Alligator mississippiensis: one gene and its partners. The protein of the gene in region 1 purifies or fractionates together with the protein of each later gene. This does not show direct contact. Links are inferred from orthologs where the notes say so. Each region holds a gene or a part of one and is shown in the gene's direction. Other genes may lie near its edges. The genes, in order: DBN1, GSN, HOMER1 and TMOD1.

The links.
Region 2: the proteins of DBN1 (region 1) and GSN purify together in Homo sapiens (co-immunoprecipitation; 3 studies listed by BioGRID and IntAct, counting the BioPlex papers as one, with this or other methods). This does not show direct contact. The link is inferred for Alligator mississippiensis from reciprocal best matches to the Homo sapiens genes DBN1 and GSN.
Region 3: the proteins of DBN1 (region 1) and HOMER1 purify together in Homo sapiens (co-immunoprecipitation; 3 studies listed by BioGRID and IntAct, counting the BioPlex papers as one, with this or other methods). This does not show direct contact. The link is inferred for Alligator mississippiensis from reciprocal best matches to the Homo sapiens genes DBN1 and HOMER1.
Region 4: the proteins of DBN1 (region 1) and TMOD1 purify together in Homo sapiens (co-immunoprecipitation; 3 studies listed by BioGRID and IntAct, with this or other methods). This does not show direct contact. The link is inferred for Alligator mississippiensis from reciprocal best matches to the Homo sapiens genes DBN1 and TMOD1.

Annotation. Positions count from the first base shown.
Region 1 is NC_081832.1:79,418,176-79,425,708, forward strand, and holds the start of DBN1 (drebrin), read left to right. Parts: upstream 1-4,517; 5' UTR 4,518-4,619; coding exon 4,620-4,723; intron 4,724-7,533. Other genes in the region: PDLIM7 (PDZ and LIM domain protein 7), read left to right, coding at 1,196-1,561, 1,637-1,817, 2,107-2,227, 2,749-2,864, 3,075-3,161. UniProt on the Homo sapiens protein: Actin cytoskeleton-organizing protein that plays a role in the formation of cell projections. Required for actin polymerization at immunological synapses (IS) and for the recruitment of the chemokine receptor CXCR4 to IS.
Region 2 is NC_081835.1:64,356,328-64,363,343, forward strand, and holds the start of GSN (gelsolin), read left to right. Parts: upstream 1-4,001; 5' UTR 4,002-4,108; intron 4,109-4,394; exon of another isoform or gene 4,395-4,651; intron 4,652-5,219; 5' UTR 5,220-5,238; coding exon 5,239-5,271; intron 5,272-7,016. UniProt on the Homo sapiens protein: Calcium-regulated, actin-modulating protein that binds to the plus (or barbed) ends of actin monomers or filaments, preventing monomer exchange (end-blocking or capping).
Region 3 is NC_081826.1:257,687,956-257,695,687, reverse strand, and holds the start of HOMER1 (homer protein homolog 1), read left to right. Parts: upstream 1-4,716; 5' UTR 4,717-5,836; coding exon 5,837-5,841; intron 5,842-7,732. UniProt on the Homo sapiens protein: Postsynaptic density scaffolding protein. Binds and cross-links cytoplasmic regions of GRM1, GRM5, ITPR1, DNM3, RYR1, RYR2, SHANK1 and SHANK3.
Region 4 is NC_081826.1:153,044,979-153,052,581, reverse strand, and holds the start of TMOD1 (tropomodulin-1), read left to right. Parts: upstream 1-4,600; 5' UTR 4,601-4,731; intron 4,732-7,603. UniProt on the Homo sapiens protein: Blocks the elongation and depolymerization of the actin filaments at the pointed end. The Tmod/TM complex contributes to the formation of the short actin protofilament, which in turn defines the geometry of the membrane skeleton.

The DNA of each region.
Region 1 (7,533 bases):
TACACCGGCATCACTGCCCTGGCCTCTTGCCCTGCGGGGACGCTTGGCACACGGTCACTGCTCAGGCGCTGTGCGGAGGGGGTGGGGGCTTGGCCCGGGATGGCCTTGAGCCAGCCCAAGGGCTGTTGCCCGCGGCTGCCGGAGGGGAAGGCGGCCCCCGGGCCAGCTGTTCTGCTCTCCCTGTGGCCATGGCCTGGCGGGCAGAGCCCTCTGACCCCTGGCACCTGCCGCACTGTAGGCAGGCAGCTGGCAGAGCCCCGGGGCCTTGCCCCAGTCCCTTTGTGCTGATGCCCCCAGCCAGCCAGAGGGGCCACGGTGTAGGGGCCCCGGCTGGCAGGTCCCACGTGGCCTGGGGCAGCCTGGCCCAGCTGCACCAGTGTTTTGTAGTCCAATAAACGTTCCCGTCCTCATAGCTGCCTCTGCCTCGTCACTGCTGTGTGCGGCCCTCTCACCCGCTGCCTTTGCTGGGCCTTGCCTTGTCCCCGCGCTCTAGTGGAGGTCGTGCAACCCCTGTGCCGCCTATGTCCCAGGGAGGGGCCCTGCTCCCACTGCTGCTGCCATCCTGGGGGTCTGGCCCTGGGGACGTGGGGCCTCCCCCTGCCAGAGCTGGGTCTGGAGTATCCCCTGGGTGCCTGGCCACCCTTCTCAGCCAGGGCAGGCACCAGGACTCCTCCAGCCCCCATGCCATGCTCCACACTTCCCAACCCAGGGCTCAGGCCCTGCTGCCAGGTGGCTCAGCCTGTGTGTGCACATTTGCCCTCCCCTTGCCCGTGGCCTCCTTGCAGCAGCCACAGTGCTGCCGCAGCCGCTCTCTGCCCAAGGCTGGTGCTTTACCCCGGGCAGCCGGGGCGCTGGCATCGGGGCAGGTCCCTGGGCCACTGCTGGGCCTGCATGTGCTGGGAGGGGAGCAGCCCTCACCTGCGGGGCATCCAGGCTCGAGTGCAGGCAGGCCATGCATGACTGGGCTCTTTGCCGGTGGGGGGGTCTGGGACGTACGCGTGGACCCGGCACCGCAACGCAAGGACACAAGGTCTTGCACAGCACTGGCACCGTCACAATGCACCAGACCAGCCACCAGGGGCAGTGCCCCACAGCGGGGCGGGGGGGGCAGGCTGGGGTCCCTGGGGCGGGGGGGGGCTGGGGCTGCCTGGCCGGGGAGGCCAGATGCAGGCTGGATTAACGGGTTGCTCTGTAGCCAGGTCCCCGTGCCGGGCCCGCCTGTGGGGGCAGCACCAAAGGCGGAGGCTGGACCGGGTGAGTGGGGAGCACGAGGCGGAGGCCCTGGGGGGTCACGGGGCCCGCAGCCCCGGGAGACGCCGCAGTGCGCTGTCCCCGGCCCCGCGGCCGCACCCAGCCCCGCCAGCCGCCCGCCCTGGGCCGTGGACGCAGCCTTCGCGGAGCGCTACGCCCCAGACAAGACCAGCACGGTGCTGAGCAAGCACCGGCAGCCAGCCATGCCCACGCCCGCACAGAGCCGCAGCTCCATCGTGCAGGCCGCGCAGCAGCCCCCCGAGCCCGCTGGCCGCACCCCCATCTGCTACCACTGCAACAAGGTCATCAGGTGAGTGCGCGGCCCAGGGTGAGGCAGGGGTCCGGCCCGGCCCCTGCCCGGCTCACCTGCCTCTGCCCTCTGCAGGGGCCGCTACCTGGTGGCGCTGGGACGCTACTACCACCCTGAGGAGTTCACGTGCTGCCAGTGCCGGCGCCCGCTGGATGAGGGTGGCTTCTTCGAGGAGAAGGGCTCGGTGCTGTGCCCGCCCTGCTACGACCTGCGCTACGCCCCCCCCTGCGCCAAGTGCAAGAAGAAGATCACGGGGGTGAGTGGTCTCAGCCGGGTGCTGCCCCGCAGCCCCCCGGTCCCCATGCCAATCAGCCCTGCCCTGGGCACTGCCCCCTGTCTTGCATGCTGCCCGATAGCGCTCCCCAGCCTGCCCTGCCCCCACCCCGGATCTGCCCCACTGCTCCTGGTGGCCCCCAGGCTGCAGCTCCCACCCTAGGCCCCTGCTCTGTGCTGTGGGGTCAGCTGGAGCCTCTGGCTCTGCCTACGGGGGCCTGCCCTGCTGCTCCCCGGGGGGCAGGGCATGTGGCTGACCCCCCGTCCCCCAGGAGATCATGCACGCCCTGAAGATGACCTGGCACGTGCAGTGCTTCACCTGCGCTGCCTGCAAGACGCCCATCCGCAACCGCGCCTTCTACATGGAGGAGGGGCAGCCCTACTGCGAGAGAGGTACGGCACGGGCATGGGGGTGCCGCCCTATGGCAAGCAGTGTATGTGCCGCCCCCCCGCCACCCATGCCGCCTGGGGGGGGTAGCCTCGGAGGAACGGCTCCAGCCTGAGCATCGTGGGGTTCCCAGCACAGCTGGGACGTGGCCATCCCGGTCCCGGTCCCCACCCCATTCCTGCTGCTGAGGGACGGGGAGGAGGGGCCTGGGCAGTGCCAGCACCAGCAGGTTGCCATGGTGATGGTGTAAGTACCTACATCAAAGCCAAGGGCTGCAAAGCATCCTGGGAAAGTGGCAGAGCAGAGGCCTGACAGCGCTGCTGCCAGGAATGGGGGGGAGGGAGGCTTTGGGCACCGGGACCAACTGCCCCTGCCCCAGCGCAGGGGAGCGAAGGGCCCAAGCATGGATCCTGCTTGCAGCCAGGCCCAGCTGCAAAGTCGTGTCCAGAAGCGGCTTGAGGAGCCTGCCTGTGGGCAGCCGCGTCCCCCTGCTCGGCTGCGGCCCCATGCTGCCCTGTCCCCCCAGATTACGAGAAGATGTTTGGCACCAAATGCCGTGGCTGCGACTTCAAGATCGATGCCGGTGACCGGTTCCTGGAGGCGCTGGGCTTCAGCTGGCACGACACCTGCTTCGTCTGTGCGGTGAGCGTCCCCACTCCTCCCGGCCTCATCCGTGGTGGTGCAGGTGCCCGGGGGCTCCAGGCAGCAGCTTTGCCCAGTGGTGCCCAGCCCTGGGTGGCAGTGGGGCAGGGTGGGGGGAGCAGGGCTGGCCTGGCCTGGAGCCAGCATTACCCTGGGGGTGGCGGTGGGCACAGGCCCCCCCCTCCTGACCGTGCTCTCCTACCTGCACAGATCTGCCAGACCAACCTGGAGGGGAAGACCTTCTACTCCAAGAAGGACAAGCCCCTGTGCAAGAGCCATGCTTTCTCCCATGTGTGAGGGGAACCGTTTCCCCCAGCCCGGCCTGCCCTGCATGCTTCTCTCTGCCCCTCCGCAGCCCTCGGGAACCCTGCCTGGAGCGTGGCAGGGGCCTGGCTGGACACACCTCTCCTCACCCCGTGCCGGCCCTGGCCTGGGGGTAACGGGTGCTGCTGCCAAGGACCCACCCTCCTCCATCCCCGCACCTGCTGCAGGCCCTGCATGGGGCTGGGCTGCTCCACACGGCCAGTGCATGGGCATGTGCCCTGAGCCAGCAGCTGGCCCTTGTGCCCCCCTGCCCTACACAGGGCCCTCTCTGCTGGGGTCCACCAGCCAGAGCGCAGAGCCCTGCCCCGGCCCTGCTGCCCCATGGGTGAGTGCAGGAGGGGACCCTGCAGTGACCACGCTTGTGCCACCTACTTCCCTGCCCAAGAGCCACTGCTCTCCCCACACCCACACGCACCCCTTCCCCCCGTGCCCAGCCGGGCTGTGACGTCGCGCGGAGCTTTTAGTGTCTCAATAAACACTTCTGTGCAAGTGCCGGTGTCTCCAGGGACTCTTCTTCATGCTGAGCCCAGTGCTGGCTTGTGCAGGGCAGCTGCGCCTAGCTCCATGGTGCCCGTGTGTTGGCAGCACCCGTCACTTCCCTGGGGACATTATCACCCCTCCCCACAACCACCCTGTGCAGAATGGGCCCTGCTCCTCCAGCGTGGGGCAGCCAGAGGCCTGGGCAGGCCCTGCCGTGGATGCACCAACATGAGCAGCCGGGCCTGGGAGAAGCCACGGGGAGGGACCAAAAAGGGGCCTGAGCTGCAGCTGGACAGTGCAGCAGTGCGGAGGGGCAGGAGAGACGGGGCTAGAGGTGCCGTGAGCCACTGGCTGGACAGACCAGCACCCGACCCCCCCCTGCCCCCAGGCGCTGAGCTGCAGTGAGAGGAGCCCCTTGTCCCTCGAACACAGCCTGGACATCTTGGGCGGGAGCAGACGTGGGGGGGGAGCCATGGAGCCGGTCCATGTACACCCCGGTGTTGGGGGGGGGGGTGGGGGGTGCAGACAGGCCTGGCCTGGCCCCAGCGGCAGGTTTCCTGGCGAAAGGGCACCCTAGGGACGAGTCCCGCGGAGCGGGGGTGCTGGCCCGGGCGCAGGCGGGGAAGGCTGTGCCCCGAGGAGGATGGAGCCGGGGCGGGTGCTGGCCCTGGAGCCGGCTGACGGCTGCACGCGCGTGGGCCGGGCCGCTCGGCGGGGGAGCTGGGCGCTGTCCCCAGGGCCGGGGCCGGGGCCGGTCCCAGTCCCGGTCCCGGGGGGCGGGGAGGGTGCGGGGCCGGTTCGGCGCTAGGACCGGGCGGCAGCGGCGGGCGGAGCCTCCCGCCCCCTCGCCCCGCGCCCGGCTCGGCTCGGCTCGGCTCGGCGCGGCGCTGCGGTGCAGTCTCGGCGGCTCCCGGTCCCGGTCCCGGCTCCGGCTCCGGCTCCGGCTCCGGCATGGCTGGCCCCGGCCCCGGCCCCGGCGTCGGCTTCGGCGCGCACCGCCTGGAGCTGCTGGCGTCCTACCAGGACGTGATCGGCGAGGACAGCCCGACCGACTGGTGAGCGCGGGGCGGCGCGGGCGCGGGCGCGGGGCGCGGCGGCTTTGTCCGCTCGGGCGCGGGCGCGGGCGCGGCCCCTGCCAGCGGCGCCGGGCGGGGAGCGGCCGGGCCGGGGCGGGGCGGGTGCGGGATGCGCAGGGACGAGGCATCGCGGCCGGGCGCCTCCACCTGCCGCCGGTGCGGGGCGGTGCGGTGCGGTGCGGTGCGGGGCCGGGCGGGCGGGCGGGCGCGGGGGGCGCTCCAGCAGCCACACAAAGGAGGGTGGGGCCGGGCCGGGCCAGGCCGGGCCGCGGGAGGGGAGGGGAGGGGAGGGGGCTGCGGGCGATGACGGGCAGGGGAAGCGCGGAGGCTGCTCCCGCCTCGCCCCGCAGCCCCGGCCCCGGCCCCGGCCCCGGCCCCGGCCTCGGCCTGGGCGTTGCGGGCACGTGCGCCTGGAGCAGCCAGCCCGGCTCGGGCAGCCGCTTCCCCTCCCCCCCCGCCCCGCCCGGCCCGGCCCCGCCCCGCCCCGCCCGGCCGGAGCCGCCAGAGCAGAAGCGGTCCCAGGAGGGAAGCGGCTCGGTGGGGGCAGGACGGGCATCCCCTGCTCGCCCTCTCGGGCCTGGCATCACCTCCCCTTGCACCGGGCGGCCGGTGGCCCCGGGGTGTTGCGGGTGCTGGCTCCTTGCGGGCCCCGCGCCGGCCGGGGCTACCAGGCTGAGCAGAGCCCCGGCTGCTGGCACCCGCGCAGCATCCCCTGCCCGCAGCACCGGGTCGCCCACGGCCGGCTCTGCTGGTCCACTCCCCGGGCCCCCGCATCACTGCACGGGGCCAGGGATGTGCTGGCATCGACCCTTGCTCACAGCCTGGCTAGGCCCGGCGTCCCCAGGGAGCCATCACTGGGCTCCTGCTGTGCCAGCTGCCCCAGAGCCCACGGCACAGGCACCTCTGCCAGCGTCCCCAGCCCCAAAGGCAGCCCAGCTGGAAGAGCCGGTTGCGGGGTGAGGGGGGCCGGGGGAGCGGCCGAGCCTGCCTGCCCACGGTGGGTCCCCAGGGAAGGCTGCGTGCGCAGCGCGGGCCGGGCCAGGCCGGGCTGAACAATGGGCTCCTTATGCCGCCAGACCCCAGCCAGCCGCGCAGCAGCTGCCGCAGCACTGGGGCGTGCGCTCTGCAGCGGTGCCGCCGGCCCCTCCCGTGCACCCCCGTCCTGCCCGGGCCCAAGGTCGCGGGGTCAGCGCAGTGCCGCCGCCTGTCTGGGGCGGAGGCCGCAAAGCCCGCGTGTGTCCAGCTGGCCGTGGCAGGCCTCTCCGGGAGCTGCTGGGGGGCTTCTGCTGCAGGGACCGCTCTGGGGAGGAGGGAGCAGGAGGTGGGGGAGACGAGCATCACTTGCTTGTCCTGGGCTCTGATCCCCCAGGCGCAGCCCACCCCCGCCCCGAGTTGCCCCCTGGGCGGCCAAGAGCCACAGGCAGCTTCAGGGCAGCGGTGGGGGTCGATGCCACAGTCACAGCCCAGTGAGATCAGGCATGAGCCGGTCTGCGGGGGGCACAGCCTGCACTGCTGCAGCCCCTGGGTGGGAGACCCAGCTGGGGGGCTGCAAGCTGGCAGTGGGGTCTCTGGGTCGGGGGTGTTGCCTCTGCTGCAGCAGCTGCAGGGCTCCTGGGGCCAGGGCCGGGCAGGCTGGGAGGGGAGGGGATGTTTAGTCTGGGGCTTCCCGGGCAGTGGCAGGTCAGCGCGGCCCTCCCCCGTCAGGGCCTCGCGGAGGCTGCCGGGCCCATTACTCGATAGGAAAGGAATTCGGCGCCGTCCTGCGCTCGCCCCCAGCTCGCGCCACATTGGAAACACATGTGTGCGTGGGGCCGCGGCCTGTGGCAGCTGGGGGGGGCTGCCCTGTGGACTGGGGCAGCCGGCGGGGCATGGGGCGGCAGCGACCTGGCACATCCGCGGCAGAGATGCTGCCCTGGCCCCCCTCCCTGTAGGAGCTCAGAGTTGCCCGCCCCCTTGAACCTAGCAGAGGCCAGGGCTGCCACGTGGGTCCCTGCTGCCACCAAATCCCTCGCCCCACCGCACCCCCAGACAATTACATCCTCGCCCTGGGGCTGCCCAGGCAGTGGCATCCCAGCAGGGCAAGTTCCTGGCTGCTGGGGATTTGTGCCCGGGCTGGTGCAGTGAGGCCCGGGCCCTGGGGGGCTCCAGCAGGCTCTGTGCAGCCAGGGGCCCCGTGGCTCCGTCGCTCAGAACCAAGCCCTTGGCCCAGCCCCGCAAGCTCGGAGCAGATGGCAGAAGCAGGACCAGCCTCCTGGGCCCGCTTGGGACTTGGCCAGGACCCTGGAGGTCTCTGGCACTGCCCGGCCTGGCCCTGCCCCAGGCGGCGCGGCTGGGCAGGGCCTCTGCCTGTGCCTGACGCTGGTGCTGGCATGTCCCCCTGCTCCCGCCAGCTGGCAGCTCCTGGCCAGGACCCCGCTGGGCTGGGCAGGCCGAGGTGTCCGGAGCAGCTGGCTGACACCAGCACTGCAACATTGGCCCCATGCCAGAGCCAGGGAGACGAGCTGCTAAAATTAGCTGTCCCTGGCGTGCGCGAGCAGGAGGTCGGCGGCACTGGCACAGCTTCACTGGGCAGGCCAGCCCCGGCCCTGGCCCCTGCCCGCCCAGCAGTGCCCAAGGCAGGCAGGGCTCCACGTCCCCCGCCACGTTACCCTTGCTCCCTGCCCGTTCTGCCAGCGCCTGCAGGTAGCGGCTCCCCGCGCTCAGCCCCAGCGGTCTAGCTGAGGCTTGGGCTCAGGCTCCGTGAGTTCTCTGCGGGGGCCAGTGTGGCCCCCCATCCCCACAAGGACTGA
Region 2 (7,016 bases), on another chromosome or scaffold:
CCCCTGAGCTCTACCCGGCTCCAGTGCATGCCCCTGCCCCTGGGCTGTGCCCGGCTCCCGTGCATGCCCCTGCCCCTGGGCTGTGCCCGGCTCCCGTGCATGCCCCTGCCCCTGGGCTGTGCCCGGCTCCCGTGCATGCCCCTGCCCCTGGGCTGTGCCCGGCTCCAGTGCATGCCCCTGCCCCTGGGCTGTGCCCGGCTCCGGTGCGTGCCCCTGCCCCTGGGCTGTGCCCGGCTCCCGTGCATGCCCCTGCCCCTGGGCTGTGCCCGGCTCCCGTGCATGCCCCTGCCCCTGGGCTGTGCCCGGCTCCCGTGCATGCCCCTGCCCCTGAGCTGTGCCCGGCTCCAGTGCATGCCCCTGCCCCTGGGCTGTGCCCGGCTCCCGTGCATGCCCCTGCCCCTGGGCTGTGCCCGGCTCCAGTGCATGCCCCTGCCCCTGGGCTGTGCCCGGCTCCCGTGCGTGCCCCTGCCCCTGGGCTGTGCCCGGCTCCTGTACATGCCCCTGCCCCTGGGCTGTGCCCGGCTCCAGTGCATGCCCCTGCCCCTGGGCTGTGCCCGGCTCCGGTGCGTGCCCCTGCCCCTGGGCTGTGCCCGGCTCCGGTGCATGCCCCTGCCCCTGGGCTGTGCCCGGCTCCGGTGCATGCCCCTGCCCCTGGGCTGTGCCCGGCTCCGGTGCATGCCCCTGCCCCTGGGCTGTGCCCGGCTCCCGTGCATGCCCCTGCCCCTGGGCTGTGCCCGGCTCCGGTGCATGCCCCTGCCCCTGGGCTGTGCCCGGCTCCCGTGCATGCCCCTGCCCCTGGGCTGTGCCCGGCTCCGGTGCATGCCCCTGCCCCTGGGCTGTGCCCGGCTCCGGTGCATGCCCCTGCCCCTGAGCTCTACCCGGCTCCAGTGCATGCCCCTGCCCCTGGGCTGTGCCCGGCTCCCGTGCATGCCCCTGCCCCTGGGCTGTGCCCGGCTCCAGTGCATGCCCCTGCCCCTGGGCTGTGCCCGGCTCTGGTGCGTGCCCCTGCCCCTGGGCTGTGCCCGGCTCCCGTGCATGCCCCTGCCCCTGGGCTGTGCCCGGCTCCCGTGCATGCCCCTGCCCCTGGGCTGTGCCCGGCTCCCGTGCATGCCCCTGCCCCTGGGCTGTGCCCGGCTCCCGTGCATGCCCCTGCCCCTGGGCTGTGCCCGGCTCCCGTGCATGCCCCTGCCCCTGAGCTGTGCCCGGCTCCAGTGCATGCCCCTGCCCCTGGGCTGTGCCCGGCTCCTGTGCATGCCCCTGCCCCTGGGCTGTGCCCGGCTCCAGTGCATGCCCCTGCCCCTGGGCTGTGCCCGGCTCCCGTGCGTGCCCCTGCCCCTGGGCTGTGCCCGGCTCCTGTACATGCCCCTGCCCCTGGGCTGTGCCCGGCTCCAGTGCATGCCCCTGCCCCTGGGCTGTGCCCGGCTCCGGTGCGTGCCCCTGCCCCTGGGCTGTGCCCGGCTCCGGTGCATGCCCCTGCCCCTGGGCTGTGCCCGGCTCCGGTGCATGCCCCTGCCCCTGGGCTGTGCCCGGCTCCGGTGCATGCCCCTGCCCCTGGGCTGTGCCCGGCTCCCGTGCATGCCCCTGCCCCTGGGCTGTGCCCGGCTCCGGTGCATGCCCCTGCCCCTGGGCTGTGCCCGGCTCCCGTGCATGCCCCTGCCCCTGGGCTGTGCCCGGCTCCGGTGCATGCCCCTGCCCCTGGGCTGTGCCCGGCTCCGGTGCATGCCCCTGCCCCTGGGCTGTGCCCGGCTCCGGCGCATGCCCCTGCCCCTGAGCTCTACCCGGCTCCAGTGCATGCCCCTGCCCCTGGGCTGTGCCCGGCTCCCGTGCATGCCCCTGCCCCTGGGCTGTGCCCGGCTCCAGTGCATGCCCCTGCCCCTGGGCTGTGCCCGGCTCTGGTGCGTGCCCCTGCCCCTGGGCTGTGCCCGGCTCCCGTGCATGCCCCTGCCCCTGGGCTGTGCCCGGCTCCCGTGCATGCCCCTGCCCCTGAGCTGTGCCCGGCTCCGGTGCATGCCCCTGCCCCTGGGCTGTGCCCGGCTCCCGTGCATGCCCCTGCCCCTGGGCTGTGCCCGGCTCCGATGTGTGCCCCTGCCCCTGGGCTGTGCCCGGCTCTGGTGCATGCCCCTGCCCCTGGGCTGTGCCCGGCTCCCGTGCGTGCCCCTGCCCCTGGGCTGTGCCCGGCTCTGGTGCGTGCCCCTGCCCCTGGGCTGTGCCCGGCTCCGGTGCATGCCCCTGCCCCTGGGCTGTGCCCGGCTCCCGTGCATGCCCCTGCCCCTGGGCTGTGCCCGGCTCCGGTGCATGCCCCTGCCCCTGGGCTGTGCCCGGCTCCGGTGCATGCCCCTGCCCCTGGGCTGTGCCCGGCTCCTGTACATGCCCCTGCCCCTGGGCTGTGCCCGGCTCCCGTGCGTGCCCCTGCCCCTGGGCTGTGCCCGGCTCCGGTGCATGCCCCTGCCCCTGGGCTGTGCCCGGCTCCGGTGCATGCCCCTGCCCCTGGGCTGTGCCCGGCTCCGGCGCATGCCCCTGCCCCTGAGCTCTACCCGGCTCCAGTGCATGCCCCTGCCCCTGGGCTGTGCCCGGCTCCCGTGCATGCCCCTGCCCCTGGGCTGTGCCCGGCTCCAGTGCATGCCCCTGCCCCTGGGCTGTGCCCGGCTCTGGTGCGTGCCCCTGCCCCTGGGCTGTGCCCGGCTCCCGTGCATGCCCCTGCCCCTGGGCTGTGCCCGGCTCCCGTGCATGCCCCTGCCCCTGAGCTGTGCCCGGCTCCGGTGCATGCCCCTGCCCCTGGGCTGTGCCCGGCTCCCGTGCATGCCCCTGCCCCTGGGCTGTGCCCGGCTCCGATGTGTGCCCCTGCCCCTGGGCTGTGCCCGGCTCTGGTGCATGCCCCTGCCCCTGGGCTGTGCCCGGCTCCCGTGCGTGCCCCTGCCCCTGGGCTGTGCCCGGCTCTGGTGCGTGCCCCTGCCCCTGGGCTGTGCCCGGCTCCGGTGCATGCCCCTGCCCCTGGGCTGTGCCCGGCTCCCGTGCATGCCCCTGCCCCTGGGCTGTGCCCGGCTCCGGTGCATGCCCCTGCCCCTGGGCTGTGCCCGGCTCCGGTGCATGCCCCTGCCCCTGGGCTGTGCCCGGCTCCTGTACATGCCCCTGCCCCTGGGCTGTGCCCGGCTCCCGTGCGTGCCCCTGCCCCTGGGCTGTGCCCGGCTCTGGTGCGTGCCCCTGCCCCTGGGCTGTGCCCGGCTCCGGTGCATGCCCCTGCCCCTGGGCTGTGCCCGGCTCTGGTGCGTGCCCCTGCCCCTGGGCTGTGCCCGGCTCCGGTGCATGCCCCTGCCCCTGGGCTGTGCCCGGCTCCCGTGCATGCCCCTGCCCCTGGGCTGTGCCCGGCTCCGGTGCATGCCCCTGCCCCTGGGCTGTGCCCGGCTCCGGTGCATGCCCCTGCCCCTGGGCTGTGCCCGGCTCCTGTACATGCCCCTGCCCCTGGGCTGTGCCCGGCTCCTGTACATGCCCCTGCCCCTGGGCTGTGCCCGGCTCCAGTGCGTGCCCCTGCCCCTGGGCTGTGCCCGGCTCTGGTGCGTGCCCCTGCCCCTGGGCTGTGCCCGGCTCCCGTGCATGCCCCTGCCCCTGGGCTGTGCCCGGCTCCTGTACATGCCCCTGCCCCTGGGCTGTGCCCGGCTCCAGTGCGTGCCCCTGCCCCTGGGCTGTGCCCGGCTCTGGTGCGTGCCCCTGCCCCTGGGCTGTGCCCGGCTCCCGTGCATGCCCCTGCCCCTGGGCTGTGCCCGGCTCCTGTACATGCCCCTGCCCCTGGGCTGTGCCCGGCTCCAGTGCGTGCCCCTGCCCCTGGGCTGTGCCCGGCTCTGGTGCGTGCCCCTGCCCCTGGGCTGTGCCCGGCTCCAGTGCATGCCCCTGCCCCTGGGCTGTGCCCGGCTCCAGTGCATGCCCCTGCCCCTGGGCTGTGCCCGGCTCCGGTGCTGGGTGAGTCCCCGAGCCGAGCATTGCCCACCCCGGAGCGGGGAGGTGCCGGCGCGGCCGCCCTGCCTCCATCCCTCCCTCCAGCTCGGCTCCGGGCCCGCCCCAGCGCTGCCTCTCCGCAGCCGCCGCCGCCTCCTGCCTCTCCGCAGCCGCGCAGGTAGGTGCGGGCTCCGGGCTGCCCCAGCCTCCTTCCCCGGGGGCAGCAGCAGCTTGCAGGGGCTCGCAGATGCCCGGGGAGGGGGCTGGAAAGCAGGTCCCAGCAGGTGATAGTGGGGGGGGGTGGTTAGCACTGCCCCCGGGCACCTCCGGCTTGTGTGCATGCCAGGAGCAGGAGCCCCATGCCCATGTGTGCAAGGCAGGGTGGAGCCCAGACCTCCAGGTGTGCCTGCCCATGCAGGATAATGCATCCTCGAGATGACCTGGCATCCCAGGATTGACTTGGAGGTGCCACTAGGCGATTCCCATCCCTCCAGCGGTGCCTGTCGTGGCATAAGGAAGTGAGACGGAGCGATTCACAGGGATGGGAGGAAGCACTGATTAACTTGTGGGAAGGAGGAGAAGTGACGTGGGGCGATATAGGATGTGTCGTTGCAAGCTGGCAGCCTAGACAGCCTGGTCCTGTCCAAGCTCCGTGTCTCTTGTCGTGTTATAATTCAGCAGGGAAGAAAGAGAGAGAGAGGGGGGAAAAAAAAAAGTTTGGGTAAGTCAAATATCTCCTTGTGAACACGAACTGTGTGTTGAGGCTCCATGCGGCATTCTGCTCTCCGATTTGGCAGCGTGGCGTGCAGCAGCGCACTGCCACGTATTTTGTGATGTCTGTGCATGCTAGCTTCTGTATTTCAGGGAGTGCGATTTTATTTATTTTTTTGAAGCTGTCGTTTTAAATCACTGACAGTGTTTCGCTGCCCTGCAGAGAGGGGGTTTGATTGCACGAAGCCAAAAGCACCCCGATGTGAGCAGACAGAGAAGTCCTGAAGGAGCTTCTGCTCCGTAACATCCCGTTGCTCTTCTTGGAAACCCGATCAATAAGAAGCCTGTGCAGATTGTATGGGTGGTTGGGCAGTGCTGTGCAGCTGGCAGAGGCTTGTCCTCTGATTTAGGACATGTGCCAGACTGGTAAAAATAGCACAAGTCTTTTCACATTACTGCTGGGAATAGGGGGGCTTTGTTTGTTTATCTTTTTGCCTGGATGAATATATTTTGAAAGCACTATTTGAACAGAAATTCAAAAATTGCAGACACTTAAACCTATTTAAAATGTTTCCTAGGAAGAGTGTTAAAAAAATTATGGGGATGACTTGTTTCAAGGAGGCCTCATTAGTAAGTAGATCCTCTTTGAATAAACTGCTTTGAATGTTAACTTGCTTTTGGATGTAAAAATCCAACTTTGCTAACAAGGATCCTGGTATCCTTCTTCCCAAATCTGCTAGTCCTCTGACTGACAACGGCCGTTCTTGGGGTCTTCCCTGGCCAGCTTTATGCATGATGCAAGTTTATTGGCAATAAATGTCCCTTTGTGGACAGATGGCATGGCTCGGCGCAGGGTGCTCCTACCCTGGACTAGAACGGGGGGCTCTTCTAGCATCTCTCATCCTCCAGGTTTCCCAAACTATCTTAACAAAATAACAAGTTAAATACTCTTTCTGCAATGACTGTCTAGGCCAACGAAGCAGCCCTGGAATAGTCCTCACAACCTCAGATATCACAACCAGTTTCCTTAATATTATCCTGGAGAAAATGTATTCCTTGGTCCCTTCTATAAAGTACCATGCGATTGTCTAACTTTTCCCTGCGCAGCTGTCGGAGGGAAGCAGAAGGGATCCCAGTTTAACATCTCCGCCCGACGGCGTCTAGCATTTCAGCTGCACTTGTGCAGCCTGGCAGAGTATGCACTGAGTATAAATCTCAAGGTCTAGCCCGGACTCCACCCTATGGTCTCCACGCCTCGTGGTAAGAATGCAGCCCGTTGAGTCCTTGGCACTCAAAACTGAGCAAAGCTTGGTTTCAAGAGTTAATCTTTATCAGCCGGATCGGATCCTGCTCTCTCTGAGTCAGTGGGAATCGTGCCACAGGGCTCGCTGGAACTCAGTATGAAGATAAGGTGTCATAACTGGAAACTTCGGTAGGCCCAGATGGGCGTGGAGTGTAGTCCTGCCTCCTCAGTCACGCTGCTTCATCCGCTAGTTTGAAAGTGAAATGTCAATAAGTTCGTGAAAGCGATAGCAGAAGATATTGCCATACACAGCTGGCTGTTAGGTGCCCAGCTCCCAGGCAGTTTTAGTGGGAATTAGGTTGGTATCCACCTCTTTGCAAAGCTTCCCCATAAAGCTGACTTGTAAAATGCACGTATCACCATGAAGCCCGAAATCTTCTGCAGCTGGTTGGTGATCAACTTACTAAGAATATAATGGAGCCAGCGATCCCGCCTTGACACTATCTAAGTGGCAAGGCAAGAAGACTTGGGTTTATTTCACCATTATCTTACCGTACCGATTGCAATCCGGTAGCACAAGCAGCATTTGAACCTAGTCCTGGCATCACCAAAGCACAGAGCTGTGCCCGCTGAGCTAGAGGAATAGGTGTGTTACTCCCACTCCCAGAGCTGTGCGTATCGTACTAGCTACTAGCAGGGAGATGCACTAGGTGTGTCACAAGCTCGCTCCATGGTCCTTACCACGTTAACTAGAGCCGGCGCTGCTACCTCTGTCTGAAAAGCAGGTTGTCTAACACCTTTGAATACAAAGCCCTGTTTTCCTAGAGATGTTCTGTACGTTTATAAGTCAATATTGGCAGCTCGCAAGCTGTCACTGCGTCTGCCAGTGTGAGCGAGTTCAGCCTTGCTGCTATAAAAGGAGAAAAGCTAACAAAACCGTAAAACTTTACGCCGTACAGAAGGCAGCAATTAATATTTAATATTTGAAAGACCCGCCTCAAGCAAGCATCGCTTTGTGCGTTGACGTAGGATGATGATTGCGTGTGTGTGCGTTTGTGAGTGTGCGTGCACGCGCAGTGCAGGATGTGATCTGATCTGTGGAGTTGTGGTGGGAAGGAAGCTATTCCTTAAA
Region 3 (7,732 bases), on another chromosome or scaffold:
CCTTAAAAGAATCTCCCAGCCCACTGAGGTGCCACAGTACCCTATCTGACAGTCATTGGTCTAGTCACTTGCTATGCTGTTGCTACCATGTTGTATAGGGTATCCCATGATGGCAAAATTTAGTGTCATGTAGTATCGCCAAGTGAACCCTGAATGAGTTATCCTATATGTCGGAAGCAGTACATGGAGCAGTACAGAAGATGGAACTCTGCCAGAGCTACTCAGTGCTATTGGGAAGTGGAGTGTGGCTATACTGCTATGGCTCCCTAACAACCTTGGATATCTCTATTCCACTCTACACATGGCTGTGTACTAATAGACATGCCCATATACCTCCTTCAGAAAAATGATCAAAATCTATGTTAAAACTAGTTAGTTTTGTCCTCTCTACTTTGTAGTCTGTTCCAGAACCCCACTCTGGCAGTTAGAAACTTTCTTCCGTTTCGAATGAGTGAAGTTACTCATGGCTGGCTTATACACATCTTTCTTGGGCCAATATAGTCCTTTAGCTTAAATAGGTCTTTTCCCTCCCTCATGTTTCTTCCTAGAAATATCTGACAGGAGCAGTCACATCCCTTTTAGTCTTTGCTTTACAAAACTAGGCAAGTCAAGCTGTTTTTCTCCCCTTACATAATAGGCTCCCCAGTTCTGTGATCATCCTTATAGCTCTTCTCTTCACTTATTTCAATTTGAATGCACTTTTCCTGAACATCGGTGACAAGAATTATATGCAGTATGTAAGATTGGGTCTCTCCGTACCTCATACAGTGGCATTCATGCTTCTATCTCCCAACTGGAAATGCTGGATGCATTTAAATAGGATACATCTTAGGGTTGCATTTTCCTTTTTTTGTTTTTCCATGGATACATAGCCTTAGTGGCTCATAGTCAGATTGACACAACCTGATCTTTCTCCTCCTTTGTCATTTCCAAATTCTATGAGAAATTCTTGTTAGTTCCTAAGTGAATCATAGAAAATTAGGGTTGGAGGGGACCTCAGGAAGTCATCTAACCTCAAAGCAGGACCATCCCCAACTATATCATCCCACCCAACACTTTGTTTAGCTGGGTTTTAAAAACCTCCAAGGATGGAGATTCCACACCCCCTCTGGGTAGCCTGTTCCAGTGCTTTACTACCTTCCTTGTGAGAGAGTTTTTTCTTATATCTAACCTAAACTTCCTTGGCTGCAACTTGAGACCATTGCTCCTTGTTCTGTCATCTGCCACCACTGAGAACAGGCTAGTTCCATCCTCTTTGGAACCACCCTTCAGATAGATAAAAGCTGTTATTAGATCTTTTCTCAGTCTTCTCTTCTCCAGATTAAGTGCATGTTTTCACACTTTCTATTAATTTAATCACATTTCTATATTTCTACTGTTGCAGTCAGCAAGTTTGTTACGCACAATTTCTTATGTACATGGTGAGGTATATATCTTTAGATGGAGGAGTACTGTTGGCTCCTTTACCTTTTCTTTTCTTACCTTTTTGTTTAATATTAAGTATATTATGTCTATACAAATTGAATGAATGAATGAATAAATAAATGTCAACCTTGATTAATAATGCAGTGTTTTTCATGCATTGGTTAGTGGAAATTGGAAGGTAGAAAACAGAACAGCAGAGACTCTTTATGCATGAAAGCTTGCAAAGAACTTTTTTTTCCAACTACTTAGCTGGTCTAATAAAAGATATCACATCTATCCAAAGAAGCTTGCCTGCCTGTGTCCTTAGATCTACACAGCTACTACCAAAAACCCTGCAGGGCAGAAAAGTAACTTTAATTAAATTTGGCAGGAGTAAATGAAGGCCTGTTCATGTGAGAGAAATGCACTAAATTAGCCAAATCCATTTAGAAATTGGTAAAATTTATTTAGGTAAACAAAGCTTAAGATTGGAGATGTTAATTTAGCTGAGCTATGTATTATGATTAGATAGCAAGTGGATTAGCAGGAATGAAGAAGGCAAAGGAAGACAATGATTTGAAGCTGTTAGTTTAAAATGATAAACTGTACTGATGATGAAGTATTACTGTTTAAATGAAGATCTCAGTGACAGAGAGATTAACTATGAGATTTGCTATGCATAACATCCTGCATCCAATGTTTCTGTTCCCTCGGTAAGGATTTTTTTGCTGCTTATACTTATTACACTAGATCGTAGCTTGTCTGAATTCCACTTAATATGAACGTCTACATGGTCACCAAAAATGCAAAAAAGTGAATATCTTTGCATGTGGTTTTTGTACTAAGCTTCCTCATAATACTATAACCTATCTGGACTGTTGAGTATGGTCTCTTGCTTTTATTTTTCCCTATTTTAATCCCGTTCTATGTTATAAATGTCTTGTGTCTCCAATATTTTGCATATATGAACATTTCACATATATAAACAGGGGATGGTCTCCCAAGTTTCAGATAAGTAGGCGTCTTATACTTAAAGAGCAATATTAACAAGTGTGACATCTTACACTTTCATAAAAACTAGATTCCTGGCATCCCAAGCGGATGTGTTCTGGAGATCTCTTTCCTACTTTGAACCTGTTCACAGATCTGACTCCCAAGACAATAGGCAGTTCTTTCCCTCAAGGTTTGGCTTGTGAATTTGATTTCTTTTGTTGTTGTTCAGACTCTCAAACTTTTGTTGTTGCACTGTTAGGTGGGAAAACAGCATCAGAATTCATACAAACCAAAAAAAATGAACAAATTTGAAAGGCTGAGCCAACTCTGAAAGGTTGAAATATCTCACTTTGGACATCATCAAATCCTATAAGATTTTTATTTAGATCCAGGACACCTAGCTGGGAGAAAAGAACTAAATAGGTGCTGCATAGCATTGCTTAGATCTTAGAGTTTTAGTTAATTTTTAGCACTTTATTTGTTACAATAGACAACAAGTGTTGCATACATGGCTGCTTGGTCTTCAGGCACAAAAGTTCTTCACCGCTTATTCATAAATATACCTGCTTTGAACCTGGAGAGTAGTAAATTCCAGATTGATACCACTGATTCTGAAGGTTTCAGAGCTGAGTGCCTACACTGTACTTCTAAATAAAAGGACAGAGTGGGAATCTGAAACTGCTGTTTCCTGCCTTGTGATGAAATCTGCCTGACACCTCAGTGCTGCTGATAGGAATGATTCACACTAGGCTTTTTGTGTTTATTTTTGTTTGGAAAAGATTTCCCTTATTTAATCAGTTGTTTTCATCCTCTTGTGTAAGGAGTCCTCTTTGTCTATATTCAGTTACTGCTCTAGATCAAAATATTAAGGAAGGTGTTTTACCTCAATATCTACATATTCCTTTAGAAAGTGTCCATCAATGCTCTGTGAATGCCAGGCAGTTCAATAAAATCCTGCTACTGCTTAAAAATGTCAAACCGGAGTACACTGATGTACATATCCAGTCTGATGTACTGGAGCTGTTGCCCTATCTTAAATATCTTATGTGAGGATAGAGGGAATTAAAGGACAGTTATGAACTAATTTTGTCGTCTCATGTTTTGTTTTTCTAATTTTGTGAGTGTAGTAAGATGTGCAAGTACCCCAGCATTTTACTATGACTGCACATCACTATCGTGTTCCATTGATACTTCCTTGCCCATTCAGTATTATTTTTATGGGAAAATTTAAGGCAGTCTAATATAAGATGTTAGTTCAAAAATACACCACGGTTTAGAAGTCTTTGATGTCACTTGACATTAGCCCTATCTAAGAACAGCTACAGTTGGCCTGGTATATATGCAGTAGAATTTAGAGAATTATGAACATTTTTGCTGGATCTAGAAAGAAAACCAGGTGCCTCGTAATGTAAAACTAGTTAAACTTGCAACAGGATGTGTCAGACCTTGAGCTTTTCTAGTTATGTAGGAGTTAGCAACATGTTATATTTGGATGATATTCTTGCAGGATTGGGGGAAGAACAGTAGGTTGTGGCAAGCTCTTGGTGCTTTTCTGGGCTGCAGAGCACGAGGGCATTGGAATCTGCTGGACAATGAAAGTTGTTTCTGCCCTTCCTCTGGGTTTAGCTGGTAACATTTTGGTTTTGGAATACTTAAGCATAGCTGTATCCAAAAGCTAGATGTGTTCATTTGTAATGCAGCTCTATCACTGTGCAACAAGCTTGATGCAATGGGACTTTGGATCCACATTTCCATGGCAGATCTTTGTGGGGTTGGATTCAAAGCACCGTTTTCTAATGCTGTTGGCTCAGATGTGCCCAGGGATAGATTTCCCCAGTGAAACAAGAAGTTGCTCGTGCTTTCTGTTTGGAGTGTGTGGTCTGTGGTTAGAGCAAAAAGTTTCTAAGCCATACTCGCATGCCAGCCTGCACCAAACCCCACCCCCCACCCCAAGATCAGAGCAGCGGATGCAGTTTACCTGCACTCTCCATTCGGGCTACGATATTTATGTGGCGGCGGCAGCGGCGCGTGCATTTGGAATGCTTAAGCTCTGAGGTCCATCTAGGTCTCCCTTAAATTTGTGGGTTTTTTTTCCCCAGGAGGGCCAGTAGGCGGACTGGTTTCGCTGTGCTGTCGGGACAGCGGGGCCAAGAAGAATGCGGTTTCTGAGCCAAGCGGAGCGCCGCGGGGAGCCGGACAGAGGGGGCGGCAGCCAGGGCTGTGTGGAGCTCATCGAGGGGGCGGCAGCCGGGCCGAGGCTTCCCTTCACCTCCCTCCCGCCCCCGCACTATTGCCTATTATAGAAGCGCTTCCGGCAGCGTGGAACACTCTGACATCATCCCCCGCACCCCGGTGACGTCAGCGCCGGGAGCGGTGTGTGACGCCAGTGCGTAGGGGAACGCGGTGACGTGTCCTATTTAAAGGTCCCGAGCGGAGGATGGAGACACAGCGAGCAGGTGCAGCGGCGGGGAGAGCGCGGCCGGCCGGGCGCAGGGGGGCGCGCGGCGCAGCGCGCTAGGGACGCTCGGGCGCCGGCAGCGGCAGCAGGAGCGCCTCGCCGGGCTCCCTGCGGCGTGGAGGCGCCGGCAGGCCGGGGAGGCAGGGAGCGCGCTAGCGGGGGCGGGCGCGCAAGGAGGAGGAGGAGGAAGAGGAGGAGGGGGCGTGAGCAGGAGCGGAGCGGAGCGCCCGGACAGTGGCGGCCCTCCCGTGAGCCGCTGCAGGAGGAGCGGGGCCTGGCGCCGCCCCCGCCCGCCGGGATCGATCCGGAGGAGGATGCTCGGCCGCCGCTGCAGGAGGAGGCGCGCCTGAGCGCGGCCGGAGGAGGAGGAGCGGCGCCCCGCGCTCTGCAGCCGGCGGAGGAGCGACCCTTGCCGCCGCCGCTCGCCGGAGCCCGATGCCCGCGCCGGTGCCGCGGCGCCTGCCTCCGCCTCCAGCCGCTCGTCGGGAGGATGAGCCGCGGCCGCTGCCGGCGCCGGCGGGGCTGTTAGAGCGAGCGGCGGTGCCCGGACCCGGCCCGCTCCGCGCCTGAGCGCGGCGGCGGCGGCCTCGGGGCGCCCGGCCGAGCGCGTCGCGTCGCGCCGCTGCTGCTGCTGCCGCTGCCGGTGGTGCCGGTGCCGCAGGCGAGCGCGGGGAGGCGGCTGCGAGCCACACGCCCCTGCCGCGGCGGGAGGAGGAGGAGGAGATGCCGCGGGGCCCCCTCGGGCTCGCCGCCTAGGACGCGCCCGCGCTGCGTCTGGCCGCACATGCCGCTACGGGAGCGGGGGGCGCCCAGCTTGTAGGCGCCGCGCTCAGCGCTGCCCCGCCGCCGCCCCCGAGCGGGCGGCCTCCTGCGGGCCGGGCCGGCCCGGGCTCCACAGCGGACGGCGACCGACGCCGAGGCCGCGACGCCTCTGGGCACCGGGGCTCGAGAGCAACTTCCGTGCAGCCTCCGGCGGGCACCATGGGGTAAGGGCGGCTTCCTGCGCTCCGCGGGTCTCTGCCGACCGGGCGAGCCGGGCCGCGCTGCCTCCTGCCCCTGCTCGGCCGGCTCTTCTCCAGCGCTCGGCTTTTACTCTTGCACGTGCTTCCCCGGCAGAGCTGGCTCCGGCCCCGGCCCCGCGATGGGTGGCGGGAGGTCGCTGGCATGGGCGGCGGTCTGCAACCTGGCAGGAGGGTGGGAAGAAAAGGGGCCCGGGTGGGCGGCCCTGCCTCTCCTGCTGGGGCTCCCTTTCGAGCTGGATTGGCAGGCACCACCTTAATCCAACTGCTCGGGCCCCTGTGCGAAGGTAGTGGAGGCATAACAAGGCAGCTGGGTACCTGGGGTGGCTTGCGGATGGTTTTGCCCCCTCCCCTGTTTCCCTATGTCGGCACCCTGGGGTGCCTGCCCCAGTCACTACGGTAGTGTAGCTACAGCAGGGAATCTCCATAAACAGCAACCAGCCTTTTACTCCTGTTGGCTCTTTAGGATCAGTGCAGCTAAGACAGGGACCTGGCTATCTCCATTAGGATACTTTTAAATCTAGGTAAACGCACTAAAGGCAGTTGTCTGGATTTCCTCAAGGAGACGACTCTTGGAGACAGTTGGCTTTTTGGTTCTAATGTGGTATCAGAAATCATCTAGCCTGACTTGTGGACCCCTGAGTGGGAGATATATGCAACATCCTAAATATGTTTCTAGTCACTTCCAGGGTATGGACAGATGAACCTCTTGAACTCTGTCAAGGAAGAGGAGCACTTCCTGCTCTAGGGCATACCTCGGGTGCCCAATTGAATTGTTCCATCTGTCCGTCTGTTCCTGTAGCACTATAAATGATCTTATTTGCTGTAATGTTATCCGTGAAAGAGAGGCACAGATTAAAATTTTAAAATGGTTGTTACTACTCTTCCGCTATATAAGTAGACTGGTGTATAACAGGCTACATTTTAATATAGTTAATTGGATACAATACTTAATTTTCCAAAGTAACACTAGTTTTAAGGTTTCATCTGCTTGCAGCTTCAGAGTTAAATGGCAGTTTGATTGATTTATACATAATTACACTTATTAAACAAATTGAGATGGTAAGTCTCATTCCTCTTCTGTATTTTTTTTTTTTTTTTATATCAATTCTGTTTGCAAGAGTATGGCATTTTCCGACATGATGCAGAGAACATTCCATGACAGAAGCCTACTTCTCATATTTATAATTCTCTCCAGAAGTTCTTTCTTACAGGGGTAAGATGGGGTGACATTTCTCACAAGTCTGTCTAAGCTCTGAAATCACATGGTCTCTCTTGGAAAAACTTTACCCTCACCAACCTGCAATCTAAGCAGCTCACAAAATGAGTTGAAATTGTCCAGGTTCTAGGCTACTTTGGGAGTCTACTATTAAATGTAAGGGAAAAGCCACATAAAGGAATTTTTTTTAAAAGAACAAAATTCTCCTTTATTAGGTAGTGTTCCTTTTGAAAACTCATCGGTTCAGGATACCTTCCTAGTGAATTAATCAAAGGAAACAGCAATGTGGATGGACTGTGAACAACATATAATAAAATACACCAAATAAAAGTATAGCAAACTAAAAATGTACCATATTTTTAATACTTTTACACAATGGCGATGCAAAAATGTGAGGTGGAAATGTGACTCTTGCCAGACTGCACAGCATCACAAAAAGGCAATTAGTGTGTGTCCTAAAACACTAGCAAAAAGTCGCCTGTTCTTAAGAGTGAGAGCAGTGAACTCAGCACTGAATGGTGATGACCTTCAGTGTCTCATTCAGGGATTTGTGAACATGAAATTGGTATTTTCACTTGGTGAAATTGGTCAAATAGTGGCACAGAATATTAATGTACCTAAATATACAAATTCCAGTCA
Region 4 (7,603 bases), on another chromosome or scaffold:
GGAAATTCCCCGTTGCACCGGAGTTCTCTTCTGCAGCAGAGAACTCCACCGTGCAAGGAAACTGCAATTTAGCATTGCCGAAGCGCACACAAACAAAAACTCACAACTTTGGGTTGTGACAAAGAGGAGACTGAGAGGAGATTTAATAGTAGCCTTCAACTACCTGAAGCGGGGTTTGAAAGAGGATGGAACTAGACTATTGTCAGTGTTGGCAGATGACAGAACAAGGAGCAACAGTCTCAAGTTGTAGCAAGGAAAGTTTAAGTTAAATATTAGGAAAAAAATTCTTACTAGAAGGGTAGTGAAACAGTGGAACAGGTGGTAGAATCTCCATCTTTGGAAGTTTTTAAGACCTGGCTAGACAAAACTTTGGCTGGGATGATCTAGTCGGGGATGGTCCTACTTTGAGCAGAGGGTTGGACTAGATGACATCCTGAGGTCCCTTCCAACCCTTATTTTATATGATTCTACAATCTTTGTGAAGGGCCTCTTCAATATACCTATACACTGCTTGATCTGCAACCAACTGAATCACTGGTATCTCCAGGTCAGCAACTTTTTGGCTCTCTGCTTGGAGGCTGTGCATAACATTTAACATTGTATGTTTCCCACTTCAAGACATTTCTTTCAAGACCGCAATGATATCCATTAAATGCTTGGGACCTTTCCATGTGGTTGCATCATTTCAAGAAGTGTGTGGGCCAGTGCACCACTATTCCATCAAAACTAACCTTGAATCTTTGTGCTTGTGGTTGAGCTCATAATTTTTGGCGATAACTGGGCTGACTAAGCCCATAATTTTTGGCGATAACTGGGCTGACTAAACTTTTCTGAACATCAGGTTTTTGTATAACCAAGGTTGTTGTATCTGAAATGGTTAATTCTTGGTGAAATTAAATTGGTTGTGCCATAATTACATTTGTATAATAGCTTATTTTGGAGCCTGCTAACCCATCTTCATTGAAATCACCATTATCCATGACAACAGTACAAGGCTGGCCTTTAATTTCACTTGGATACAACTGACCATGCTGAATTTATTGTGGTGTCTCTACTGTAAGTTTTGAACTATGGTCAGATTCGTGGCATTCCTGCAGTGTCCATGCTGAAAGTTCATCAAGAACAAGGTTATAAGAAATGCCAAGTTTAATTTCCTTCAGGATTTGGATGAGTTTGCTTATTACCCGTCATGTTGTGACCATACATAGATAATGTGACTTACATTGGCTGTAATTTTCCTGTGATTAGGTGCAATAGTCCTTCAGACAGAAAATGTACAGCTGGTAGCAGTTGTTCTACAACCAGCACAGGACCTTCTTTAAATGTAGAATGAAGATTAGCAAGTAATGCCACAAGTTTATGAATGTAATTGGGTGTGTTGTCCTCTTTCAGTTTGCTGATTCCATATGGCCATGGGATTCAAGCCTCTGCCTGATGCTTGGAGTAAAGAAGCTTGGCTACAGTCCATACCAGTTTTGGAGTGTCTATACCCCAACTGTTCACTGCACTTTCAACATATGCTTCTCCATGCTTGGGGGAATAAACTATGGACAAATAATTTCTATGATACCTGCACTGAAACCTAGCATCTTCTCCAAAATGATCTTCAAACTTCTTGCACAAGGATCATGGAGCAGGGCTAGGCAATCCCCAGCATGCATGCCAATTAGTGGCACACAGAGCCATTTTTCTTGTCATGCCAAGAGGCGTGTGAGGAAATTGTTTAAAAAAATTTTGTTTTTTAAGTTGCTGCTCTGGGCTCTCTGGAGCAGCCACAGGTCCCAGCACCATGGCAAGCATTGGGCGTGTACTCAGCCCCATCCCTGTGGAGCTGCATGGGCCTCGCTGGGCCGGACCCCACCTCAGGTGCCACTGGGTACCACTACCTGCTCACCATGGCCTGAATCTGCAGAGCCCAGGGGTAGCCCCCACTTCCCACCCAGCCCCTTCTCTCCTCCAGCTGCTGCCTTCCCAAGGGTCTGGCTAGGTTGGCCTGTCTGCAGCACCTCCTCCACCCCCACCTGCTTCTCTCTGCACTGCTCAGACCCTGCCCCTAGCTAACAAGGGACATTCTCAGCTACTTCTTACTCGTGATTCAGTTGGTTCATCAGTAAGTCTCTCTTGCAACACTTAACAGATAGTATGCCTCTTGTGCACACTTCAAGTTAATGCCTACAACATTCAACTTACAGTTTTTATGCACTTTCTTTGGCTTATTTTGTTGACCTGTATTCGCTCATAAAGCGTATCAAAACTTGTGCATAAGTCTTTCCATTCTTGAGCTCTTTGTGCAGGTTTATTCCATGTATCCTGGGAAAGTTGCTGTAAGGGGTTCTTTTTGGATGTTGAAGTTTTTTTTCACATATGACACACATTATTATTGAAAGTTTTAGGCTTTTTCTTGGCAGTGCTGCAACTACAAGTGCTAGCCTCTTGGTTTGCTGGGAAGTTCCAGTCCCTGTTCTATCATCCGTTGTTCTTAACTATTCATTTTCTCTTCCTTCACTAAAGAAGAAATAAAAAAGTAATGTAGATGAGATGTAACCACAAAAGGATAGGATTACCAAAACATTAAGAGCAGATACCATTCTAGGCTATATGTCATGCCTTAAAAAGTAATGTTGTTTGCATTTAAAGGGTTGGAGCTGCCAAAAAATGGGCCGTTACTCATCAAAAGACAAAGAAGATTTGTAGGTTATTGCAATACCTATTTAAAGACATTTAGAAAATCAAAATTGGCTTCGTAGGTACTGAGATATTGACATTTATTCATCTCATTAGTCATGGCTGCCATTTTTAAAGATGGCAGCCAAAGCCAAGATTAGAAAAGTGACCCCCCGCATCAGATTTCTTCCTTAACAACTCAGCTATAAATTTCAAAAATAAAAAAAGTCCCTCCCAAAAAACACACGGGCTTTGTGCGTGTGGATGACTGGACTAGAACAGGGATTGATGGCCTCCTTGAACAACAGGCTGCTGTTTGTGATCTAGCTTCCACTGTGGGCTACTGATCTCTGTAGCTCTCATGTCTCAATTGCTCAGTACTGGCTAATTTACTGGCAGGATAAATTTGCCCATGTGGCACGCCAAGCCCTATGGGAAGACTGCTTCTAGTGCCTAAACAAGCATGGGTGTCTCCAGGATTCATGGTGGTTGGGGAGTGTGAGAACTATGGTTAAGCAACTAGCAAAAGTCCTCAATGTTATTCCCCTTTCTTGCCTTCTCTCTTTTTCTTTAACTACCAAACATAATCTTTAGCGTTCTGTCCCCAAATGGCATTCCCTGTTATCGGTATTCACATCTGTCTTGTTCTTCCCACAACTAACCTCTTCTGTTTCACTATTCAAGGCACCTCTCAGATCTAGCAAAGCAGCAAGCTGTTACCTACACACACTCCCTGCCCCTCAGCCTTATCCTTGGAGTTGACTCAAGTGGCAAGTTCAGGGGCTGTGGAAGGGAAAAGGAAAAGCAGTCACTGAACTTTTGAAAGGGTGCATTGATACTGATCTACTCTATTGCAGAACCAGGCTAGAATCCTAAGGGGTGAGTACAAGAGACAGAGCCAATTGGGGATCTCTAACTTTGTCTTTAACCTTGAGTTTGATGAAATGAACCTTGAGTTTGATGTGATGAAAGCAATTATAGCTTGATCTGATGATGCTAAAAGTAGGGCACATTATTCCAGATCTTGTGTATATGGAGGAGCTGCCATCTCTGTGTGGTTGAGGATCCTGCAGATAAACTTCTTATGCACTTCTCTGAGGATCCTTCTGGCAGTAGATATTTGCTTCTGCCCACTTTTGCTGTAGGTGCAAATGTAGGCATTTCATGGTGAGCTGTGGGGAGTTAGTCAGGTGTGAGACGGGATTTATTCTTTGTGGGGTTTTGTAGTTAACTTTGGGTGCAGGCTTCAAGAAGCTGGTCAAGTTGATCAGTGACTAGGAATAGGGGTTGAGGACACGGAGTGAACTTGTCAATATAGGGGGCACAGAAGACTGGAGAATGGGCCATAATTAAATGCAAGTTGATCTGGGGTTGGGGTGAGAAATATTGTGTACATCGTACATAAACGCTATTGTTATTATGCATAACATTGACATTTACTACTCACTGAGCCTCCATTTACTCACTGAAATGGGTGACCTTGAATGATCAAGCCACCTAAACCCTTACGTGTAGGGTACACTACTGTCACTATACAGGAGCGTATATCCGACTATACGCTGGTGCGTGTCAGGCCCACAGTGTCCCACCGCACAAAGCGGCTGCCTGCGGGCTGCCATCGCGCGGGGCGGATAAGGGTGAATTTACCGCGCATACGACGAATTTCTGGTGTAAAAAGGGTCAGCGCCGAAGAGCTAACGGGCACATACAGGGCCCGCATACAGCGAGGGAAACCTGCGGGTGGAGAGGCGGTGGTGAAGTCGGCAGCAACCCGGTGGAGGGTATGGATGACTGCACCTCGGGGCAGCCCCATGCCGCCGTAGCGGCGCCGAGCAGCTGGCTGCCGGGCCGGGCCGGGCCGGGCCGGGCCGGGGGGTGAGGGAGAAGGCGGGAGCGGCGGCGCCGGCGGTGGCCCTTCCCCTCGCTTGAGTGACAGGCGCGGGGAGGTGCAGCGGCCGGGCCCCTTCTCCCGCCGGGCACGCAGAGCAGGGCGCGCGTCTCGGCCCCCGGCGCGGGCAGAGCTGGCGAGGCGAGGTGGGGGCGAGGGCGAGGAGCCGGAGCCGTGCGGTAAGCCCGGGGGGGGCGGGACGCGGCGGTGCCCCCCGCCCGGTGCGGCCCCGGGACTGCGGGCGCTGCTCCCGCCCATATCTGGGCAAAATATTCAGTTGTCACCGAGGGCTGCGAGGGGCTATAAATAGCCGCCACCGCTGCTGGCGCCGCTCTCGGGCGGGCCGGGGTGGGGGGGCAGCCCGCGCTGCGTCCACACCGGGCCGCGGGCTCCCGCCACCGTGTGCGACCCCGGCGGCTCCCTGCGCCCCCGCCCGCCTCCGCCCCGCACCTGCTGCGCGGTGGCCGCGGGCGGCTCGTGCTCTCCAGTCCTGGGCTCGCTGAAGGAGGCGGGTGGAGCCGGGAAAGCCCCGCACCGGCTTGGGCTGAGCTGAGGCAACTTCGCGGGTGAGCAGAGGGGGGCCCCTGCGGCTGATCCTGCTGACCCACAACTGGCAGTGGCACGCAGGATCCCCAGCAGGATCCCCAGCAGGATCGGCTGCGGGGGGAGCGCTTCTCCTGGCACACTCGGGGGGGGGGGCACCAGCGCTCTCGTCTGCCCCCCTGCCTGGGAACGCTGGTCTCAGGGGGTGCACATGCACCCCCTGTGCACCCCCTACACGTCGCCACTGATTGTGCCTTGCATTCGGAAGCTTGTCCAGTTTGATCCCAACTACATGCTTGGTCCAGTAAAATCCATGCTTCTCTTCACACATGTGGCATCTGTGTTCTCCATGACTCTGTATTATGTGCCATGTAGTATTTCCCCAGTAATGATATTAGTGGCTACTTTGATCACAGTATTATCCCATTAGAGCAGTGGAGCTCACCTGTTAGAAAGTATATACTCAGTGCTTGTTGCCAATGTGAGGGGTGCTTTGTTCATAAACAGCCTGCTGGAATGGAACCTCCTTCCTGCTCACTGCTTTCTGTCCCAGCTAGTTAATTGGCTGGCTTCCTGACTAGCTACTGGGGGCGACCCCAGTTGCCACAGGTCCCACCTGTGGCATCTGCCTCCAGGCTAGCCAACAGTTCTGACCCAGTTTCCTTTGGTAAGCCTCCTGGGGCATTTATACACACATGCTCTGGGAGTGGGCAGGGGGACATTTAAATTGGAGCGCCCAGAGTGTCACGTGTATCAGCATCTTCTGCGCTGAAAAATGGCAGTGGGGGCGTTTTAAGTAAATCTTAAACAAGTGTTAGTTAAAGTGCCTCCTGCTGCCATTTTTCAGCATGGGGGTGCTGATACACGTGATGCTGGAGTCTTCTGGAGCATGGTAATTACTGCACTCCAGCAGACTCAATTGAGTCTGCTCCAACATGCTGTGATTGCAGTGCGTCAGAGCAGCCTTGCTGCATGTGTATAAGCACCCCTGGTCTTGACTTGTTCCTGGATTTTGGCTTTGGATTTCCTTTGGATCTGTTTTCTGGCTCCTGACTCTGGTTTGGCTCCAATTCTGGACTTGGCCCTGTGGATTGTATCTCAGATTTGGTAACTCAGCATCCGATTCCTGGACCTTGACCTTGGTCTTGTGTTGTGGAGTCTGCCCCTGGATTCTCTTCTGGATTTGGTAATGTAACTTCTGAGCTCTGAACCAACCCTGGCCCCTGCCTTCCCCCAGTGGCCTGACTATTAGATCAGATCTCCTAGGTCCCAGCACCTTACATCCTCTGTCCCTGTATATTGGTTCCTTGATGTTGTTGCTTCTCAACTCTATGATTTCTTCTCAACTGCTGAACTTCAATTGCAACTAACTGCTTCCATAGGGTTTTAGCCCAATGACAGCTTGGATAGCTTCCCCCCCAAACCATCTCCCCCTTCCCCCACCCTGCTTTTTTTGTGGCTGCTGGACAACTGAAGCTAGATTGTCTCCCTGTGTGAAGATTTTTTCTGAGAGCTGATGGTCTAAAGACCAGAAATTCAGGGGTGCTGATTTGTTGTTGTACCTGTATGTTTGAATTGTGCCTGTGTCAAAGTGATTGCTTGGCAGGATTTGGGCTCAAAGCTCTGTGTGTAGTTTCTCTCAATAGAGGGTGCTTTGGCTAATTGAAGGGTGGGCCCAGACATGCCCAGGCTTATTAAAGGCAGCCCCTTGTGAACAGAGAAGCAAGCAGAGAGGGAGTCATCACAGGAGGGAGCAGGATACTCTTGGGTGCTTGTGCATGTGTGAATGAATGTGTGCATGCCACACACATGGGTGTGGGTTGGTTTCCCCCCTCCCGCTTTATTTTTTTTGCTTCCTATAGCCTAGGTGTTGCCCAGGGAGCATAGAAGGCACAAGTGGAGACTGGATCAGTTGTTACTTGGATGGGGGATATGCCTTGTCTGTGTTCTCCCAAAGGATCAAAACATTTCATCTGCACCAATTATAAGCTAGTGTCTGTCTTGAAGGAACAAATCAAGGGGCTGGAAGCACAGGTATCCACACTGTGCACTATCAGGGAATATAAAGACTTCTTGGATACGAGTCCTGAGAAGCTGGCACTGAAGAGGCCAAAGGGAAAAAAGGAGAAGTGGCAACATATGACTAATAGAAGGAGGGTCCCCAGAATTCAAGAAGAACAGATTGAAGTCGGTAACTGCTTTTAAGAACTCGATTGTTCTGGAACAGCTGGGGGAAGGACACAGGTGAGGACTCAGCAGTTTAGAGAGCAGCAAGTGACCCAGCTAGAGACTGGTTAGCTTCACTTCTGTAGTCATCACCCAGTTCAGTAAACACAGGCATATGTGAATACGAAGAACAACACACTTTAACAGCGGCTCTAACTCAGTGGTTCTCAACCGTTTTTTGTACCCGGACCCATTTGTAAACAATGATGGCCAGGCCTGTCCCAGGAAATAGTTAAGGAGAAAACAGCCCCCTTGGCCCTGCCAGTGCTCTTCACATCCAAC